Coturnix japonica: one gene and its partners. The protein of the gene in region 5 interacts with the protein of the main gene of each other region in a pairwise test. Links are inferred from orthologs where the notes say so. Each region holds a gene or a part of one and is shown on either strand. Other genes may lie near its edges. The genes, in order: BAG3, WWP2, UBQLN1, STAM2 and FAM189A2.

Region 1 (3,515 bases), on a different chromosome or scaffold from region 5:
CTCTACATACCTGAGGTCTGTCTACGACCGTCTGTACTGTGATGGGAGTCGAGGGCTGTACCTGCTGGGTGATAATTCTGGCAGGTGAACTCTCACGACTTGATGCCCCTCTCTGAGTGGCTCTGAATGGAGACTGTGCTCGTGCTGTCTTAGGCTCCCTGTCATCTGGTTGAATTCTGGGAAATACAGGTTGGTGGGCTTGGAATTCACTCTGCTGGGCAGGGTAGTGTGTCTTCTGGGCCTGATGGTAGCCTTGCGGTGGTTGCCTTTGGATATTTTCATGGATCACAGGAATTGAAATATAGCCACGGGGAAGCTGATGGCTTCCTGAATTGGATCTGCCAGATGACTGAGGTGGAACCGTTTGAGAATCAGAAGCTCCAGGAGACTGAGGCTGCCATGAAAACAAAATCCATTATTAAATCAGCTGTTTCAGCTCATAGCACTTTTCATTTTCAAAGAGAAATGGAAACTGAATTTGTGTTCCCACATACAAAAGATCTACGTCCTTGGTTTGGGTTTGTGTTGGTTTGTGTTCTATTTTTTTTTGCCTTGCTAGACAAACCACAGAAGTTGTGAGAGAGCATCATTATAACAAGTAATAACCTGAGCTACAGCATTCCCAGCCCTCAAGTAAGCAGGGAGTGGATGCTCACTCAGAATGTTTTCTGTTTTTACATGGCTACTCCTGTCTAAACCTGTTAAATGTGAGGCAAACTAAAGTTAAGCAAACAAATTATGTACTGCAGACAAAAAACAAACTACTCAGAGGCACACAAAGTTCAGACTTCTGATCCCACTCATGCTAACAGATTTATTTACTTCTTTAAGCATGTAATTTAGTGCACTGCCAAAGCCTGCTATGTGTGGCTAATGCCCCTTGACCCCTCACGAGACCTTCCAGCACATCAGCCCTGTTGGCACCAGGAGTGATAGCTGCACTAGTGTAGATTTGCTGTAAGCAGGAGCAAGTGCTGGGGATACACCACAATTCAGCTTCTGGTATTTCAGGTTATGGTTCCACAGCATCTGGGGAAAGGCAGTTTATTTGCTCACAGCTCACTCCTTCTCTACTCCTGCTGTGCCAGTCCATCAACTCACCTACTATGGACTATTCTCTATACTTTAACCCATGAAGGAGAGGAAAAATTATTTCCTGACAGGTTTATTGATATCTCAGTGACAGGCCAGGTAAGACTGGAGTTAGCACAGGAGGGAGAGCAGGACAATGTAGCTGGAAGCAACAAGTAGGCAGGCAAGGTGAGAAAGGATAGGGAACAAGATGTCTTTTGTGCTAGTTAATGCTCACCTCTGCAGCTCAGCAGCTATAAATAAATGCTACTTTTTCTACAGGCACCAGCACTGCTGTGTCAGTGCCCTGGTCAGTTAGTGCCCATGCCACCTAAGTTTGTGATGGCAGCTTCTCCAGTCCTCAGCAGTTATCTCAGAGCACATGAGATGGAGAAGACTTTTCTGAAGCAATTCTGCATGTAATACAAAAGTATATTCCCAGCTGCATTAAGTTGAGAGAAGGAAGAACTAAGCCTCCCATCCTTGCACTTCATGGATAAAGCAGCAACAACTGAGGAAAACTGCGAACAGGATTTTAATTGTCTTGTTCAGACACAAAAACAGGTTTTAGAAAAATATCTGCCACTGCCGACATGAAAAATTCCCCATGTGTTTTCATGCTGATAGAGGCTCGATTTCCTGCTTATTTTACTTGGAACAGAAGTGAGATTAGTGCTTCAGCCTATTACAAGAATACTGCTCCTGCTAATTCTGAGGAGATAACAGACAAACCAAAATCCTGCCTTTTGAAAAGCAAAGCAAGGAGGGTGACTCTTTTTAAAGCAGTTCATGTATTATAACATACTACAAAATAACAACAAAAATATTTCCGAATTCACTTCTAAATCTGTGTATGCAGATCTATACAATTAATAAAACCAGAGTATTAAACTGGAAAGCAGAATAGCCCTGTTTCTGAAACAGCCTAAGCTGTCAGCTAATGGGACACTTGTATTTTGTGTCTCTCCCCTTGCTCACCTGTTTCCCACATAGGGAATGCAAGAGATCTGCCTGCATTCCCAGCTTGCAGAGTAACCACTCTAAACCCTACAACAGCCCTCACCTGCCGCAGGAGCACCTGCACCATTCACAGGCTTTTTTATAGAGAAAATTTTCACAGGCTTGTTTCTGTGCAAATCACTTGATAACAAAAGCTGTCAATGCCGGAAAAATGTGAAACACTTCTGCTGAAGTGACTGAGCACTTTTGTATTTCAACACTGTGGAAGTATTGGGAAAATGTAATCCTGTGGCAGGTTTGGCTTTCCAAAGGATAAAGTACTCGTGTGACAGTCAGGTCATACATGGCCGCAGAGACCAAGGCACACACACCCCAGCAGTACTGCCGAGTTACCTCAGGTCCGTGTGTCGCTGGAGCTGGGGCTGCTGCAGCTGCTGTTGTCTGTCCACATTGTTTATCTGCCTGGGAAGCCTCAGCCGGCCCCCTATGAGGGGACTCAGGGCTGGCATAGGCCCCCCTCAGTGGTGGCTGTGCCTGCGCTGTGGTGGGCACGGCTTCTGCTTTGTACCGCTGTACGCCGGGCTGTGGAGCAGCAAAGTATGGGTGCTGTCTGCTGTCGATGCCCTCGTGGATGACTGGGATGGGGATGTAGCCAGCCCGGAGCTTGGGGTACACCACGTTTCCTTCCCGTGCTGGCATCTGCCTGGGACTATCTTGAGATGGGCCATTTGCTGACGACTGGCCATCCTAGAAATTAAAAACATCACATAGCATTTGTTGGTAGCTCAGCTCAACATACCACGTAAGAAAGCAGCCATAAAGGTCTGTCTAAAAGAAGCGTCAGCCAGGCATGAGAAGCTCAGCTCCTCAGGTCTGTGCAAGGTCAGCAGGCAGGAGAAAGGAAGCTGAACACCAATTAGGTATGAGCCTTTCACCCTCAGTGCTGATAAATGCTAACTGAGGCACTAAAATACCACATTACAACAGGGATTTTCTGTAGCGCTCACTACCTGCATACAGCCATGAGTCCAGCTGCCTCACCTGGTACCATGCTAATTAAATGAGAGCTTCAGGGACCACAGATGTTTCCTTAACACCCCTTCAAATCCACCCAGCGTTATAGATAACAGCAGAAAAGAAACTTAGAAGATTTATCTCATCATAGAGCAGTATTTGTTGGTATTGTGCTTCCTACTGCCTATCTAGAGTTACTGCTGCTTCATTCTGAAGAAGATACTCACAGCCAAGAGAGGATCCACTTCAGCAGATTCCAACAGGATAACATAATGAAGAGGAAAATGCTGGAAGGTTAGATAATATTAATTCCTGTGCTGGCCAACTGCACTCACTGGACAATGTCAAAGCTCTGGCAAGGGGGAAAGTGCTTTGTACCAAGATCCCTCCCAAGTCCTCTATTAAGTTCTTCCTGCATCGGTCATTCTATTTTGAGGCCCAGCTAGGGCCAAGTTCCAGATGTATCTCTA
Region 2 (4,220 bases), on a different chromosome or scaffold from region 5:
AGGATCTCATTCCACAGCAGCTCAGAGCTCCCCATCTGCTTTCCCGTCTTCTTGGTCTCGCTGGGCAGCCCATCGCCCGCCACCTCCACGTAGCAGTTCATCCGTGACTGGCGGCTGTGGGCCTTGGGCTTCACGGACACCACTGAGTGGGACAGGCAGGGGTCAAGCAGCAGCCCCACAGCCACAGCCCCTGCCCGAGGACACTGCCTCACACTTACACACCCCATCTCTGCCACCAATGCTCTGGGAAGGGGACAGCACTGGGCTGAGACAGCCCCGCTCATGCTTCACCCACTCCCATTTCACCCCACAGACACCTACCATCCCTGTTCAGCTGCTCCCAGCCCCAGGAGCCTGATGAGAAAGCCCGTGCTCTATGACAAGCCAGGGACACAGGGGTTCTGCAGGAGCCAAGGGAAGGAGGCAGTTGGCCAGGGAGAATTGCCACTCTCTAGATGGCCATGCCTGGACCAGAGGGCTGTGGGCAGTGCTGGGACACAGCTCCGAGCATCTGGAGCCATCTCGTGGCCACTGCAGGACAAACACCGCCCTGGCAGAGCCACGGAGCCACATCCCAGCAGAGGAGGCAGAGCCCCCCACAGGCAGCGCTCTGCTTCCAGAGGCCACCAGCACCAAGGCCTGGTAAAGGCTGCATGCACCACAGAGCCTGGAACACGGCCCCTCCCCACCAAGGAACCCCAAGGTCCCCCACCTGGGTGCACCCAAAGCCCAGCTCCCAGCCCTGCACAGGACTCACCTTTCACAGAGAGCTGGGACTTCTCACAGGGCAGCCCTGCCCTGGCCCTGCTGGAGCTTGCAGAGGCCATGTCATCACCCCCGGCCTGGAAGGGAGAGAGAGAGATGGGGACTCAGCACCGACGCTGAGTTGGGGCCCAAAGATATCCTGTGTCCAGCACTGCACACAGCAGAAAGAGCACACAGCCATAAGAGCACACAGCCATAAGAGCACACAGCCATAAGAGCACACAGCCACTTGGGGCAGCAGCCTGCAGGCAGCCTTGTGAGCAACTCCACCTCACCCCAACCCCGAGGCTGCTGCTGACTCTGGCCATGGGGACAGAGCAACCTCCAGTGCTGCCGAACACCAAACGAAAACCAAAGTCTGCAGGTGAGGGCACAGTATGGTACGTGAGATCCCTTGGAAAGGATGAGACAGCAGCACCATGAGCTGGGTCTGCTCACAGCACAGCAGAGCTGCATGTCCCTCAAGGACAGCCCAAGTGGCTGCCAGGCAGCAAAACACCATGGAAAAATTGGTCCTCCCTACTCCAACACACTGCGGAGCTGCAGCTCAGCACGGAGGGGAATTGCAGACTCTCCAACCTCAGGGCCGGACCCCAGCACGGCCTGCACCTTCCCAGCACTCACCACTTCCTTTTGCTGGGGCACTGCATCGCTGACAGCAGCCACAGCACTTCCCTCTCCCCCATCTGCCACAGCTTTCCCCTGGAGCTCCCCACGTGGCAGAGGCTGCAGGTTTCCTACTGAAATGCCTGACCATAAAGGAAAACCCCATGGTCAGGGATCACGCAGGAGCACGAGGTGCTCAGTCTGACACCAGCAGTCAGCTATGGTACCACACTGCTCTCACGGGGCCCTCCTCAACCCCTGCCAACTCCTTTTAAACCCCTCCTGACACCAGCCTGGCACAAGGCTGAGCCTGGAGGCCTCACACAGCCTCCCTGGGAATGCACTGCTGGGGTACGAGAGGTGAGCAGGGGATGGCAAGGAGCCCCTCCATCCTCTCTGGCAGCTGGGAGCCAGCTACAGGCTGTGGTCATGTCCAAGACTGACTGTGATACTATTACAAGTTATTCCAACTCCATTACTCCGGCCCACAGATCACCCCCCAGGATACTGCTGGCTGATTCCACACCATCACTTACTTCATTACAAACACTATCCAGGCCCACGGAACGAGGTGGCCTGACACCGAGCCCTGAGCAGGATGGGGCAGTGAGCACTGAGCTCCTCCCGGGGGCACTTGTTGCTCCACCAACAGCCCCACAGCACAGACCCACCTCACCGGGACCTGGGGCTCCGCGCTGCTCCGTCAGATTCAGGCACCACCCGCAGCCCCGCAGTGCACAGTCACAGCGCAGCCCAGGCTTTGCCACGGGAGCCGACCCGGCTCGGACTCATCGCTCACCAAACTCGTTCGTTCCAACCCGTCACCGCACACACGGAGCCTCGTCCTCTCCCGCTGTGTCCCGTGGAGCCGCAGCGTCACCCGCCCGAGAGCGGCCACCGCGACCCGCACTGCGGGACACCGGGCAGCGCCCGGCACGGGACAGCGGGGACAGCCAGGACACCGGGACATCAGGACACCGGGACATCAGGACACCGGGACATCAGGACACCGGCACAGCCGTGGCGCAGCGCTGCACCGCGCTGAGCTTCAGAGCTGCGCCCAAAACCGGGAACCGGGACCGAACCGGCACCGCGCGGTGTGAGGCAGCGCCCGGAGCCCGGTACCTGGTGCCGCCCCTCAGCCCCCACAGCCGGTGCCACGGGCCGCCCCGCCGGGCTTCCCCTCTGTTGGCCGGCAGCCGCTGCCGGTAAAGCGGAGCGGAGCAGCTGCCCGCAGCCCGACCGTTACACCGTTACACCCCATCACACCCCGTTACACCGTTACACCGTCACATCACACCCCGTTACACCCCGTTACACCCCGTTACACCCCGTTACACCGTCTCCCCTCCCGCTCTCACCGCTCCTCCGCTCTCCCGCTTCCGGTTGCAGCTCCGCCGTCATGTGACCCCGCGCGCACCTGACCGCGCCGCCCGGAAGTTGCCCCGCGCCGCCCTCCCGTCAGCCCCCGCGCGGCGCAGAGGGACGCAGCCAACATGGCGGACATGGGCCGCGTGCCGCACGTGGTGGCCGATACCGGCGCGTTCCTGAGCGGTGCCGCGCTGCAGGTACGGACCGAGAGCGGCCGGATGGGGCGGGTCCGGAACGGGGTCGGGGCTGGGGGCCGCTCCGGGCACGGGCTGAGCCTTGTTCCGCCCGCAGGACGTGGCGCGCAGCGTGTACACCGTGCCCGAGGTGCTGGCCGAGATCCGGGACCGGCGGGCGCGGCGCCGCCTGGCAGCGCTGCCCTACGAACTGCAGCTCCGCCGACCGAGGGCTGAGTATGTGCGGAACGGTGAGTGACGGGGGGCGGGTATAATGGGTAACGGATAACGGGTAACGGATAATGGGGGTAACGGCCTCTTCCGCCCCGTCCCGCAGTCACCGAGTTCGCCAAGCGCACCGGGGACTTCCCCAGCCTGTCGGCCGCCGACCTGCAGGTGCTGGCGCTCACCTGCCAGATGCAGGACGAGATCACAGGGCCGGGCAGCGTCCGCCTGCAGCCCCCGGACAAGGTAACGGGGGATGGGATGGGATGGGATGGGGCTGGGCTGGGCTGCGGGCGCTGCTGATCCCGGCGCTGCCCACAGGTGCAGCTCAGCTCCAGCCCGTGTCACCCCGAGGCCACGCTGCACATCGCCGGCTTCCACCTGCCCACCAAGGTACAGGGGGTGATGGGGACAAAGGGGGGTGAGGGGTGAGAGGAGCGGGGATGTGGAGCCCGGGGCTGCTGTGTCTCCCCCAGCACAAACGCCCGCGGAAGAGCCAGCAGCAGCACGGCCACGACAGCAGCACGGAGCTGCCTGACAGTGCTGAGTTCAGCTCCTTCCTCTACTGGAGGCTGCCCCTGCCCGACATCGAGGACGAGCTCCAGGAGATGCTGGTGAGGCTGCTGTGCTCACTGCCCCACATCCCAGCTTATTGGCATACACGGCACCAACTGCCCATCTCTGCAGAAAACACACAGCACCTCCAGCAGCCCGGCAGCCACCGACGAGTGTCAGAGCTCAGAGGATGGGGATGGTGCCGAGGAGGAAGAGGATGAGGATGAAGGGAGCGATGATGACGAGGGCTGGATAACGCCAAGCAACCTCAAGCAGGTCCAGCAGGACACGGGGCACTGCGACACCGTGCCTGCCAACGTGCAGGTCGGCTGTGTCACCACAGACTTCTCCATGCAGGTGAGTGCTGCCTCACATGGCCCTGTCTCCAGCACACAGCTCGGTTGATCCCACACACGTACCATACAAAAGTCAACCTGCGATGCTTTCTTTTGTGTTCAAAGCTGTCAGTTCTCCCCACAGCAGCAGCTGTACCACAGCAGCGCCTACCCAGAGCCCATTGGCTTT
Region 3 (3,515 bases), about 5.0 Mb from region 5:
TCTGTTGAGCAGTATTACTTTTGGGACATTAAAAAAGAAAAAAATAGGGGAGAAACATTTCTGTTTTGGAGAGAGAGAAAGGAAGGAAAGTCCTTGAAGGAGAACTACTCTAGTGCAACCAACTTGTTTGCCTGAGCAGAAAGACTTTTTTTGAGATATTTTGATGAGGCTGCTTCTAAACGACAGTGAGAAAGATGCATAAATCTACAAATTACTTGTGAAGTGTCCTGAAGGAACAGCTGACTGAAAATCATTTTTGTCAACTAGGGTAAGGTATACCTCATTTGTATCTAGATTATATAGTCAATAACATGTTTGTTCTAGTCTGAAAGCATTCTTCCTATTCTTATGTCTGTCCTGTTTGTGTCAAGGATCTTCTGTGGGAGAAGGTCAGATGTTGGAGGGAAACAGCATGAAAGCAGTAAGAAGAAAAAAGAAATACGCTTCCCCCTCTTAGGCCTCACTAGCATTATCCTGACTTTCAAGCACCTGTTGAAATGTAGGCCTGATAAGCAATAGTGATATTGTATGCAGTATAATCTAGTACTGTAATATTCTCCATGTTTCTGAACAGTACTCTGCTGTTGCTATGACTTCTTCTCTTTTTAATTTAGTCTCTTGAGTGCGATAGGGAAGTTTCATAAACCATGGTAGTAGTGATAATATATCTTTGACTTGCACATTCCTCTGTGTATTCATAAATTGGACTTAACAGTAGTTGTAAGTACTAAATCAAAGTACTGAAATAGCAGTGCTAGTCAGTCTCTTGTACCTTCTCACGCTTTGCCTCTGACCAATTCTAGGTGCAATGTCACGTTGTTTTTACAAGGTTGTTTTGTTTTTGTTTTTTTGCCTTCAAGAAGTCTTGATGTCCCTGCATGAATTCTCTCAGCATTTCTGTCCACATCATATTCTATCACATCTTATCCCAGTCTCCCACAGTGTAATGCAGTTTACGCTGGCTGGCTTAATGTGGCTAGTAGAGTTTCAAAGTAGCAGTTGTTAGCAGTAGATAGTGAAGATATAATGAATTTCTGAAAATGAAGGTTCATGTAAGCACTGTTTTAGGTGCTTGCAAGCTGATAAGGGGCCATCATGGTAAAGTAGACTTAAAACATAGACTTGCATTTTCACTAAAAGGCTTGAAGCTGAAAGACTTGAGATATAACCAGTGTGTTTATATACCTCCGTTTCCAAATAGAAACATGTTGAAATGCTTTACAGGCATGTCCTGTTTTCTGTTTTACTTTGAGACCCACCAACTGAGAATAGCTCAGGTTCTTCAGAATAGCTGAAGAACCAAGTAAAGATTTATGCTTATATTATGCTTTTTTCTTACAAAGAAAATATTTGTGTATTTTCTTAGGCTAAAAAACCCCAAATGTCTTCATTAGGAAGTTTATATTAAGTATAAGTGCCTTTGCAGTCTATGATCTTTGTGACAGCTGCTTGGCTTGTTGCACTGATTACATGGTCTGATAGTGACAGGACAAATAGGATTGATTTTTAAAGTAAAAGAGGGGATAGTTTTGATTAGATGATAGGAGGAAATGCTTTATTCAGAGGATGGTGAGGCTGTAGTTGCCCAAAGAAGCTGAGGATGTCCCACCCCTGGAGGCATTCAGGGTCAGATTGGATGGGCCTGGGCAGCCTGATCTAGTGGGTAGCAGCCTTGTCCATGACAGGGAAGTTGGAAACTAGATCATATTTAAGGTCCCTTCCAGCCTAAGCCATTGTATGCAGCTGTGATTGTACTGGTCTTGGTGTTCAAAGTTGTCAGTTGCTCTTAAGCACAAATAGTCTGCAACATTGTTCTCAGGAACCCAGAGTATTACCCACTGCCTTCTTTCAGGAAGCCATATTACAAGCCCAAGTACACCTTTCTGGGGTTGTTAGTGTATATCTGGGATCTTCCCTCTAGAACAAGTTTTCCTTCAATAGTTTCTGTGAGTGCTTTTGTAGACTTGGAATTCTCTTATTAGAGTACAAATAAAAATAAGCAAAACTGAATTATATGAATCATTATGGACTGAAGTGTTAGGACAAAAATTAACGTCTCCTTCACTACAGTGGAACATCAGTAGCAATTGTAATGAAGTTGCGAAGTCCTGTTGTACCCTCAGTGTTCATGACTCAACATGCTACTGTTTTCAGGGGTGTTGATGGAACCTTTTATAAGGTAATACTGATGAGTTGATGGAAGAACTTGCAAAATCTGCAAAGCATTTCATTGTTGGTTTGGCTTTTGATTTTAGCAACAGAGCACTCTTAGATACTTCAGGGAAGCCTCTGTACTAAAGACATCTGTCTGACTTGTATGGGTTGTTGGTTTTTTTTGTTTGTTTGTTTTTGTTTTGACTGTGAGTTATTGAAGCAAGTACAGAAAAACGTTACTGAGATGAACTGATCTGTAGAATTTAGCATTATCGTCTAACCTTCAAGTCTTTGTGGAAGGTCTGCATGCATAGATTCTACAAATTATCTTACACTAATTCTGTAATTTTTCAAATGCAGATATTTATGTGATTGTTTAATGAACCAGCTTTAGCAAGTGAGCTGGGCTTAAATCTTGCATCATTGAGTAGAGGCTAGGTTAGCTTTGAATCAGCTGAGTTCTTTGATCTCTTACACCATACGTCAGCACCAATACCATTGCCTCTACTAGAGACAAGTGTAGTGAGCATGTGAATTAGGCAGCTGATTTTACTCCATTCTTAGTTATGAAGATTACTGAAATTCTGGTGCTTGTCTTGTAATAAGACCATAATAGAATTTCACATTGAGTAAGCCATCCTTACTGAATCCTTTATGGGATATGTTAGATTTTATGTGACTTCATTTCTTCAAGACTCAAGCATATAATCACTATTGTCTAATGGCTGTCAAATAAGGTTGGGTAAGGCAAAGAATCCCTGAAGCAAGGTAAAGACTCAGAAAGCAATGCACTGTCAGGTATCTCTGGGGTTGTATGAGGAGGTGGTAGTGGCTGCAGTGATGCCCATCCATTTTTGTAACGGTTGAAACTTCTGAAAAACAGATGATGTTACAGATGTCTGAGAGACTTACTACAGGAAGCTATCCAGAGAGATGCAATTCTGAAAAATTATAAAATGAGTAATAAAATGAAAAACTAAGTTTCCCAAGTATGACACCCATGATATGTTTAATGAAATTAGTTAAATTGATTTGCTACATTTGTAACTTTGAAACTGTCTTTTTGGTTTTTAGATCACAAGACCACCAAGCTCAGCAAACACACACCAGTGGGAGTGCTGATACCACATCAGCATCAAGCAGTAGTACCTCAACATCAACTTCAACAAATAGTAATCCTTTTGGCTTGGGTAAGAAAGTCTGTTATCCCTCATGGTCGGAGCGGTGGAGTACCTTTTCTACAAAGAAAGGCTGAGGAAGTTGAACTTTTTCACTCTACAGAAAAGAAGGCTTCAGGAAGATGAGATTGTGTCCTTCCAGTACTTAAAGGGAACTTTTAAGTGGGAAGAAGACCAGCTTTT
Region 4 (2,743 bases), on a different chromosome or scaffold from region 5:
CTCCTTCACTTCTACATACAACAACAACAAAAAAGGAAAAGAATAGATATTCTGTGCAAGTTTCTGGCTCAGCACCGTGTATCCAGAGTACCCACACAGGCCGCTGGGAGCATCCCTTGCGTGCTTGTGCAAAGGCATCATGTGCTTGCTGTCCCACCTGCGCCCAAAGCCACAAGAGAGCTCAAGCATCAACTGCCCCATTCCCAGTTTCTTTCAAGAGAAACACATCAGGAGCTGCAGTTTCCCAAAATCCAACAGGCAGTGCTATAAAAACGTCATTTCTCCTATATCTGTAAGTACGCGGTTCTCTGTCACAGTATCAAATCATTTTCTCTTCCAGCTCTCATCTGCTTCACTTGTGCAGCTGTTCCAATTATGCAGCACACACCATACTGTAAAGCTCACTATGGCAGCACGGAGAGGAGGTGTCTAAATCAGCAGAAGCTCTTTAAAGCTACTTGGATGGAAAGATTACAGCGAGACACCAGAGGAGACGATGCGTAACGAGAGCAACACATAACAGTGACTATGCATCACTATGCATCCTCGCGTTTCTAGAAACACATAAAATTAATTTTGGACATGTTTTTACTTGAATTCAGACACACAAATGGCTTTTCTTTCATTGAAACCACTGAAACAAGGGCTCAAAGCAATGTGAAATTATTTTAAATCATCGGCTCATCTTGTTCAAACTATCATTAAGGAAATGATTAACAATCAGATCCGATGCATACTGCTACTCAGCATCACCCCTAAGTTGGGTTATTTTAAAGAAAATGTATTTTGATATCTGTGACAGGTATTAATAAAAACCATTAGATTCAGCAATCACTCTTCATTATTTTGGAAACAAGCCTGGTCTGTTTTTAAAGGAGAGGCTGTTGGTGGTAGTTGGTTTGTTGCTGTAGAACGGAATGAGCAGGAACTGCCATGGGATAACCCGGTCCTTGAGGCAAACTTGACGTGTTACTCTGGTAAGCAGCCATATCCACTGAGCCCATTTGCTGCTGGCTGTACACTGCTGTGCTGGCAGCTGCAGGAAGGCCGGGGCTCTGGGTCACGAACGTCTGGTTTAACACAGAGTCTGGTCCTGGGCTGTAACAAAACAAAGCAAATCCAACTGTTACAAGCTCACAAAACTGGTTCTCCGATAAGAATTTTTTCTTAGCTGTACGAATGTTTTCAGACTTACACATCACTGTAAACACCCCAGAGCTGCAGCCTCTAGGAGGGTGGTGAGGCTGTGGCACTGCTGCCCAGCTCCATCTCTGGAGGTGTTGCACATGCACAGAGCTCTGGGCATCATGGCCTGGTGACAGTTACCCCTGCCCATGGCTGCGGATTGGAAGTGGATGGTCTATGCAGCTCCTTCCAGCCCAACCCATTGTGCAATTCTATGCAAAGGGTAACGTAAGAGTTCGCTGAAATGACTGATACCTTAAATAAGCAGTTTGTACAGGCTGAGTTGCTCCAGACGAATTGATATTTTGAGGCAGAGACCTGAGCTGCCCCATCTGGTCAGGTCCTAGGCCATAACCTTGAGAAACGGTGACCTGGTGAACACCTTGGATCATGTAGTTCCCACTAGGTGGCTGTACAGGATACGGCTAAATAATAATAATAATAAAGATATAACTTATTTAAGTAGCAGTAAATGTAGCACAGAATACAACTGCAATGAATAAATACTTTAGGGTTCAAAGTCTGAACAAACTGATTCTGAATTTATTTTCCTACCTCGGGTCTAACAATAAAACACACAACTTCTCCTAACACACGTATGGGTTTCTAACAGACATCCTTTCTTCCATCACCAGGCATCTCTTTCAAAAACGCACTGCTAACAAGGTCTGTGGTCATTTATCTGAGAACAACCCTTTTGCTCATTAACACCACTCTTCCACCTCCCAGAAACCTTATTTCTTTTCCACCAGTTTGCCTTGTCTTTCAGTCCTCAGCATATTTTGAGCAGGAAGATGAGCACCATACAAAATTTGATTCCCCAAAATGTATAAAATAGCAAAATGTACAAATAGTCCCAGATTACAAGAGAAGGAAAGCAAAAACTTCGCTTTCTCATATTTCTAGTTTAAGTTAAGTCTTTACTCAAATCTGATCAAACGAGCGGTAGAACCTGCTAACACAAGGCTACACTGCCCACTGCTTCTGGACTCAGTATGGCTGCGTATCGACACCAAAGGAACAGACACTTGAGTCAATACTAGGCCCAGCACAAATACCATTATCTTCTGTGTTTCACTGCTGGGCGCATTCCCTTTGAAAGAACAAGTAAACTCCTGTTGCCTTTTGGCTTCAGTTACTTTTTAACCTCCAAATACAATGATATTTTCCACCATAACCAGAAGTTAAGGATACAGAATTACTTCAAACTGACATTTTCAGATCTAGCAGTTGCTATAGCAACTATTCTTTTCCTAGGGAACAATTAACATTAAATAAAATTCACTAGAAGTAAAACCACTCACTCTATGCTTCCTGTAAAAAAAAAGACCTTTAAAATCTCTCTTTCTTCTCATCTTTGTTTCCTTAGAACACCAATGTAGCACCCTAGAGATACTGTAAGTCAATTTTGAGCAACTACACCCACTAATGTAATACTCTTCCCAGCCCCTCGCCTTAGGAAATCGTGAGCTAAAACCAGACCAAGGTTTTTATACTTAGCAAAAGTGCACTGCACTCGTGATTAATGCACTAATATTAAAGTTCACTCACATCCCTA
Region 5 (4,197 bases):
GCCTGTAATTAGGAAACGCAAAAAGAAAGTATGCTCAAAGAAAGTGTAGGAGAATGGCAAGGCTTGGGACATCATAGAAGATTCCATCCACCAGATGAAGTGCAGAAATCCCGCTTTTATTTTTTCTAAGCAAGATGGCAGACAGATAGGGCTGCAACCTGACTTCTGATGCAGCACCCTCTGACTTTGGCTCTGTTTTGTGTGTTTGTCATGTAACATTGGGACATCTGCACTGCAGCCCAGAAATGCATGGGCACAGCATTTTGCAGGGGCCTGGTGTCTTTCAGGAATATATTTACAGTGTCTGTAAATCTATTTTAACCACATGAAAGGCAAAATCTTACAGCCATGAAGCGAGCAGCAAATCAGTTTTACAATAGCCTCACAGAAAAGGCTGAAGTTGCATGTTTACTAATCAATGAGTTGAGTTATGGGGCACAGTCATGCAGCACAGATGGCAGCAGCATTTGGGCAGCCCGCTAACCACTGGGGCATTAAATACTGCTGCTCTGGCCGGTGGCCCATAAACCCTGGCACACAGATTGTTCTGAGGTGTCTTTATTGCAAGAGGACGGCTCTGGCTGGCAAGAGATGCTTCTGGGTAAGGAGTCCTATAAATCCTGAATAGCAAGTCAGCAGAAATGCACAAAGTGTTCAATTCGAAAGCACTACCTGTAACACCAAAGGTTCTCCTTGCTTTGAATCAAAGCTTACGCACTGCTACAACGCATGTGGCACGTGTCCAGTGAAGACAGTAACGCCTTTAACACAGCTTATTTTCCTACAGTTCTAAAAGCTGGATTCTTTTTCTATCTGAGATGTGCTTTGAGTTCCTGTCCAGACCAGCCTAGCAGATACGAAGCCACACACGCTGATCAGAAGCTGGGCGCTGATCGCTGATTCCCGATCTTCCTTTCCTGGAGCATTTCAACAAGCACAGGAGCCCCATCGCAGCAGCCCTTTTTACCCCAGCAGGAGAGGACAAGGCGGACCCACCGCCCCTCGGCACCCCCTGCTTACAGAGCAGCTCGTTCCCCTCGGGCCGGGCCGCCCGCCAGCGCCGTGTAAGGCAACCCGGCGGCTTCGCGCCTCCTCCGGAGCACTTATTTTAGAACTCGGGACAACCGCGGCACGGCAGCAACCACAGGAGAAGGGGCGCGGTGCCGGGGGAGGGCGGCGGGTCGGGGGCAGCCGGAGCACCGCGATGGCCAAGGCCGACGGGCGGGGCGCGGCGGGGCGAGGCCGGGGGGCGCCGGGTGCCGTCCCCCGCAGCGAGGCGGGGAGCGGCGGATCCGCGGCACGGCCCGTCCCCGGCGGCACCTCCCGGGCGGGGCGGGGAGGGCAGAGCCACAGGAAGTCGGCGCCCGGGTGGGCTGGCACAGGGGCGGCGGAGGGCAGGCGCGGCCCGGCCGGCGGGTGCCCCGATGTCGCTGCCGGCGGTGCTGCCGGGCTCCTGCTGCCCCGTGCCGGGGCTCTCCGCCGGGTCGCCGGCCGCCGGCACCGCCATGCGGCCGCCGGGCTCGTTGCCCGCCGAGCCCTCGCTGCCGCCGCTCCGGTCCCGCCGCGCCGGCTGCCCGCGGCCGCTCCCCGCCGCCAGCTTCTCGTCCTCCCGCCGCGCCTCGGGCGCCGGGCTGCTGCCGTCGCGGCCGCTGCTGTCGCTGGGGCTGCTGCAGCTGGTGCTGGGCTGCTGCATGGTGGCGCTCAGCTTCGGGGCGCTGTCGCTGAGCGGCGCCCAGGAGGTGAAGAACGCGTGTCCCTTCTGGGCCGGCTCCTCGGTACGTCCCCGGCAGCGGGTGGCGGGATGGGACTCGTGCGCGGGGCGTGCTCGCTGCTGGCGGCTCCGAGGAGCGCCGGTACTTCCCTCCTGTTGCGTTCTGACAGCAGCCGCCGTCCGAGCGGCGGGACAAGGCCCGGGCCTCGGCTCAGCCCGGAGCGCCGCGCTCGGTGCCGGGCGGCCCGTCCGGAGCGCGTACCGTGCCTTAACCGGGCTGCAGCCCGAGCCGCGCGGATGGCGGCGTGGTGTCTGCACTGACGTTTCTGTCTTACCTTTGGCTTTCTTTCGCCTTCTTCTTTCTCGTTCCAAGTCAAAGAGAGTTTATTTAGATCTCGGCAGCCACGGGCTTTCTTTTAACCCTGTGCACAGAACCATGCTTATACTAACAAAATGTTCTGAAGCTGCACGTGTAACCTGGAAATGCCCAGTTACCTTAATAATAATAATAATAATAACAAAGACCTTTTTTCACACTAGTTCTGAAACAATGACATATTCAGTCTTAAAAAATTACCTGAAGTGTCTTCTGAGCGTAGCTGCATGAGTGAAACGTCTCGTCCAGAAGCAGTGTGGGATGCTGGGGCAGCTGTCATTCAGTATGTGCCTTTCTCTCATCTTAGGCACAGCACCCTTCTTGGGATGCACTCATGAAAGGCACTCTTGAGGGAGGCATTTCTTCCATATACCTTAAATCTTAATCATAATGAAACCAGTGTTGGCATCCCTAAGGATGCCACCCCATTCCTATATGCATTGGTGTGCTTTTTTATAAAAGCACGTGTCTATTTTGTGCTCAGAGAATTGTAAAATGTTTGTTATGAAACTGCAGCATTATGTATGTGCTTTTGCAACAGCAGTGGTGATACCAGGAGGTGTTTTGGCCAAGTCATGTATGCCTGTTATGCTAGGTCAGATCAGTCATGTCAGGTTAATGAAGCGGCTGAAGGGATTTGATAAAAATGATAGTGGGCAGCTTCCCCTTTGTGTCCCTGCTTGGCTTTGGGGTGGGAGTGCAGTCTGAACTGGCCTAGTCACAAAGGCCCCCGAACTAAAGATAGTTCCTGCTTGCACCCAGGACCAGCTGAGAAATGAGTTTGCCTTTCCTTTTGGTTCTCATTCATCCAGTGAGGAGTATCTGGGTGTGTGGTTTGCTTCGGTTCTGCAGCAGTGCTTTCTCCTTCCTTAACTGTTTTGTCCTCAGATGAAGTTGTGGGGACAGCTCGTGGTTCAGCAGGTCTGATTAGCAGCCCCTGCTGCAGAGGGGATGCTTCTGCTTGCTTTTTCCTTACACGCATGCTGCTATGCTGGCTGAGTAGCAGGAAAAGCATGTCCTAGGTTGGAAGTAACTTTTTTTTTGGCAGTTGATGGGGGTGGGAATTGCTGGCGTGACTTTCTGGACATTTTATGTGAGGAAGCAAAACAGTAGATAAAAATTTCAGTTCCAGTTGTGTTTTCCCTTGAGGTGCTCTTCGGGGTGAAGAACCTCATCAACACAGGCTCTGAGTTTCTGCTGTAGAGTGTCCCCCATGTCATCTCAGCACTGCTCTCACACTCCAAAATACTTCCCATCAGAGCAGTGGCAAATACTGTGTAAATGGCATTTTCTGAACAGTAGTTCCCTTCTTGGTAATGCTGTTTTCTTAATGTTACAGGTAATTTTATCTGGAATCATAGGGCTGACAACGTGGAAGAGGCCCATGATACTGCTGGTGAGTATGGATTAAAACTTGTTGTGAGAGAATTTTCAGCAGATGTGCAGGAATTATCAGGTTATCAGCAGTCATGTTAAACAGCTCTGCTTCTTTCTCCTTGAAAAAAAAAAACAGACCGTACTGTTGAGTCTATTTTGTAGTCTGCAGAGCTGTAATTGTTGAAGAAGTCAGATGCCATGGAAGGCTGAGTTCTTCAAACATCCTGGAGTTCTTCTAGGAGACTGATAAGAGCAGGAGAGCATCATGCCTGGAGAATGTGCTGGTGTTCACAGAACGCTTTCTGTGTAGGTATAGGAGAATACTGGTTTAATATGGATAATTCATCTCTCTGAGACAGTGCTGCTAAACCTTAGAGGCAGCTGGTTTGAAAGCTGTGCTCGTTTGACCTGTGCAAGTGTTTGATGGCAGGCTGAGCTAAGCTAAGCACTGCTGTTCTACAGTATCCAGAGTTAGTGATTCAAATACAGTTGACATTACATTGTTCTGAGAGGAGAAAATCAATGTGCAAGGGTGTGTAAGCTGTTTCTGCTTGTAAGTGAAATCTGAAGCCGGGTAGCTCTCGGAAGTCTCAGTAATGGGATTTGCATGAAAGCATTTGAAGGTGGGTTTTGTTGGTTTTGCTGGTTTTGTTTTCACTATACTATAACTTCTGAAGTACTTTCTCCAGGGAAAGCAGTTGTTTTGTCTCTTTGCAGTGTGTGTTTGGGTCAT

Evidence for each region.
Region 1: the proteins of FAM189A2 (region 5) and BAG3 interact in a two-hybrid assay, tested with the Homo sapiens proteins (2 studies listed by BioGRID and IntAct). The link is inferred for Coturnix japonica from reciprocal best matches to the Homo sapiens genes ENTREP1 and BAG3.
Region 2: the proteins of FAM189A2 (region 5) and WWP2 interact in binary tests that used the Homo sapiens proteins (3 or more experiments, as listed by UniProt). The link is inferred for Coturnix japonica from reciprocal best matches to the Homo sapiens genes ENTREP1 and WWP2.
Region 3: the proteins of FAM189A2 (region 5) and UBQLN1 interact in a two-hybrid assay, tested with the Homo sapiens proteins (2 studies listed by BioGRID and IntAct). The link is inferred for Coturnix japonica from reciprocal best matches to the Homo sapiens genes ENTREP1 and UBQLN1.
Region 4: the proteins of FAM189A2 (region 5) and STAM2 interact in a two-hybrid assay, tested with the Homo sapiens proteins (2 studies listed by BioGRID and IntAct). The two-hybrid records come from large-scale screens. The link is inferred for Coturnix japonica from reciprocal best matches to the Homo sapiens genes ENTREP1 and STAM2.

The regions. Positions count from the first base shown.
Region 1 is NC_029521.1:27,000,240-27,003,754, reverse strand, and holds part of BAG3 (BAG family molecular chaperone regulator 3), read right to left. Parts: intron 2,779-3,515; coding exon 2,425-2,778; intron 395-2,424; coding exon 11-394; intron 1-10. UniProt on the Homo sapiens protein: Co-chaperone and adapter protein that connects different classes of molecular chaperones including heat shock proteins 70 (HSP70s), e.g. HSPA1A/HSP70 or HSPA8/HSC70, and small heat shock proteins (sHSPs), e.g. HSPB8.
Region 2 is NC_029526.1:16,981,969-16,986,188, reverse strand, and holds the start of WWP2 (NEDD4-like E3 ubiquitin-protein ligase WWP2), read right to left. Parts: upstream 2,805-4,220; 5' UTR 2,776-2,804; coding exon of another isoform or gene 2,733-2,775; intron 844-2,732; exon of another isoform or gene 843-843; 5' UTR 828-842; coding exon 758-827; intron 402-757; exon of another isoform or gene 322-401; intron 143-321; coding exon 1-142. Other genes in the region: RNA-binding protein NOB1, read left to right, coding at 2,868-2,939, 3,034-3,166, 3,253-3,386, 3,462-3,533, 3,617-3,754, 3,828-4,052. UniProt on the Homo sapiens protein: E3 ubiquitin-protein ligase which accepts ubiquitin from an E2 ubiquitin-conjugating enzyme in the form of a thioester and then directly transfers the ubiquitin to targeted substrates.
Region 3 is NC_029547.1:36,145,648-36,149,162, reverse strand, and holds part of UBQLN1 (ubiquilin-1), read left to right. Parts: intron 1-3,228; coding exon 3,229-3,344; intron 3,345-3,515. UniProt on the Homo sapiens protein: Plays an important role in the regulation of different protein degradation mechanisms and pathways including ubiquitin-proteasome system (UPS), autophagy and endoplasmic reticulum-associated protein degradation (ERAD) pathway.
Region 4 is NC_029522.1:30,567,904-30,570,646, reverse strand, and holds part of STAM2 (signal transducing adapter molecule 2), read right to left. Parts: intron 1,611-2,743; coding exon 1,441-1,610; intron 1,099-1,440; coding exon 870-1,098; 3' UTR 1-869.
Region 5 is NC_029547.1:31,114,294-31,118,490, forward strand, and holds the start of FAM189A2 (protein FAM189A2), read left to right. Parts: upstream 1-1,391; 5' UTR 1,392-1,424; coding exon 1,425-1,775; intron 1,776-3,426; coding exon 3,427-3,483; intron 3,484-4,197. UniProt on the Homo sapiens protein: Functions as an activator of the E3 ubiquitin protein ligase ITCH in the ubiquitination of the CXCL12-activated CXCR4 receptor. Thereby, triggers CXCR4 endocytosis and desensitization, negatively regulating the CXCL12/CXCR4 signaling pathway.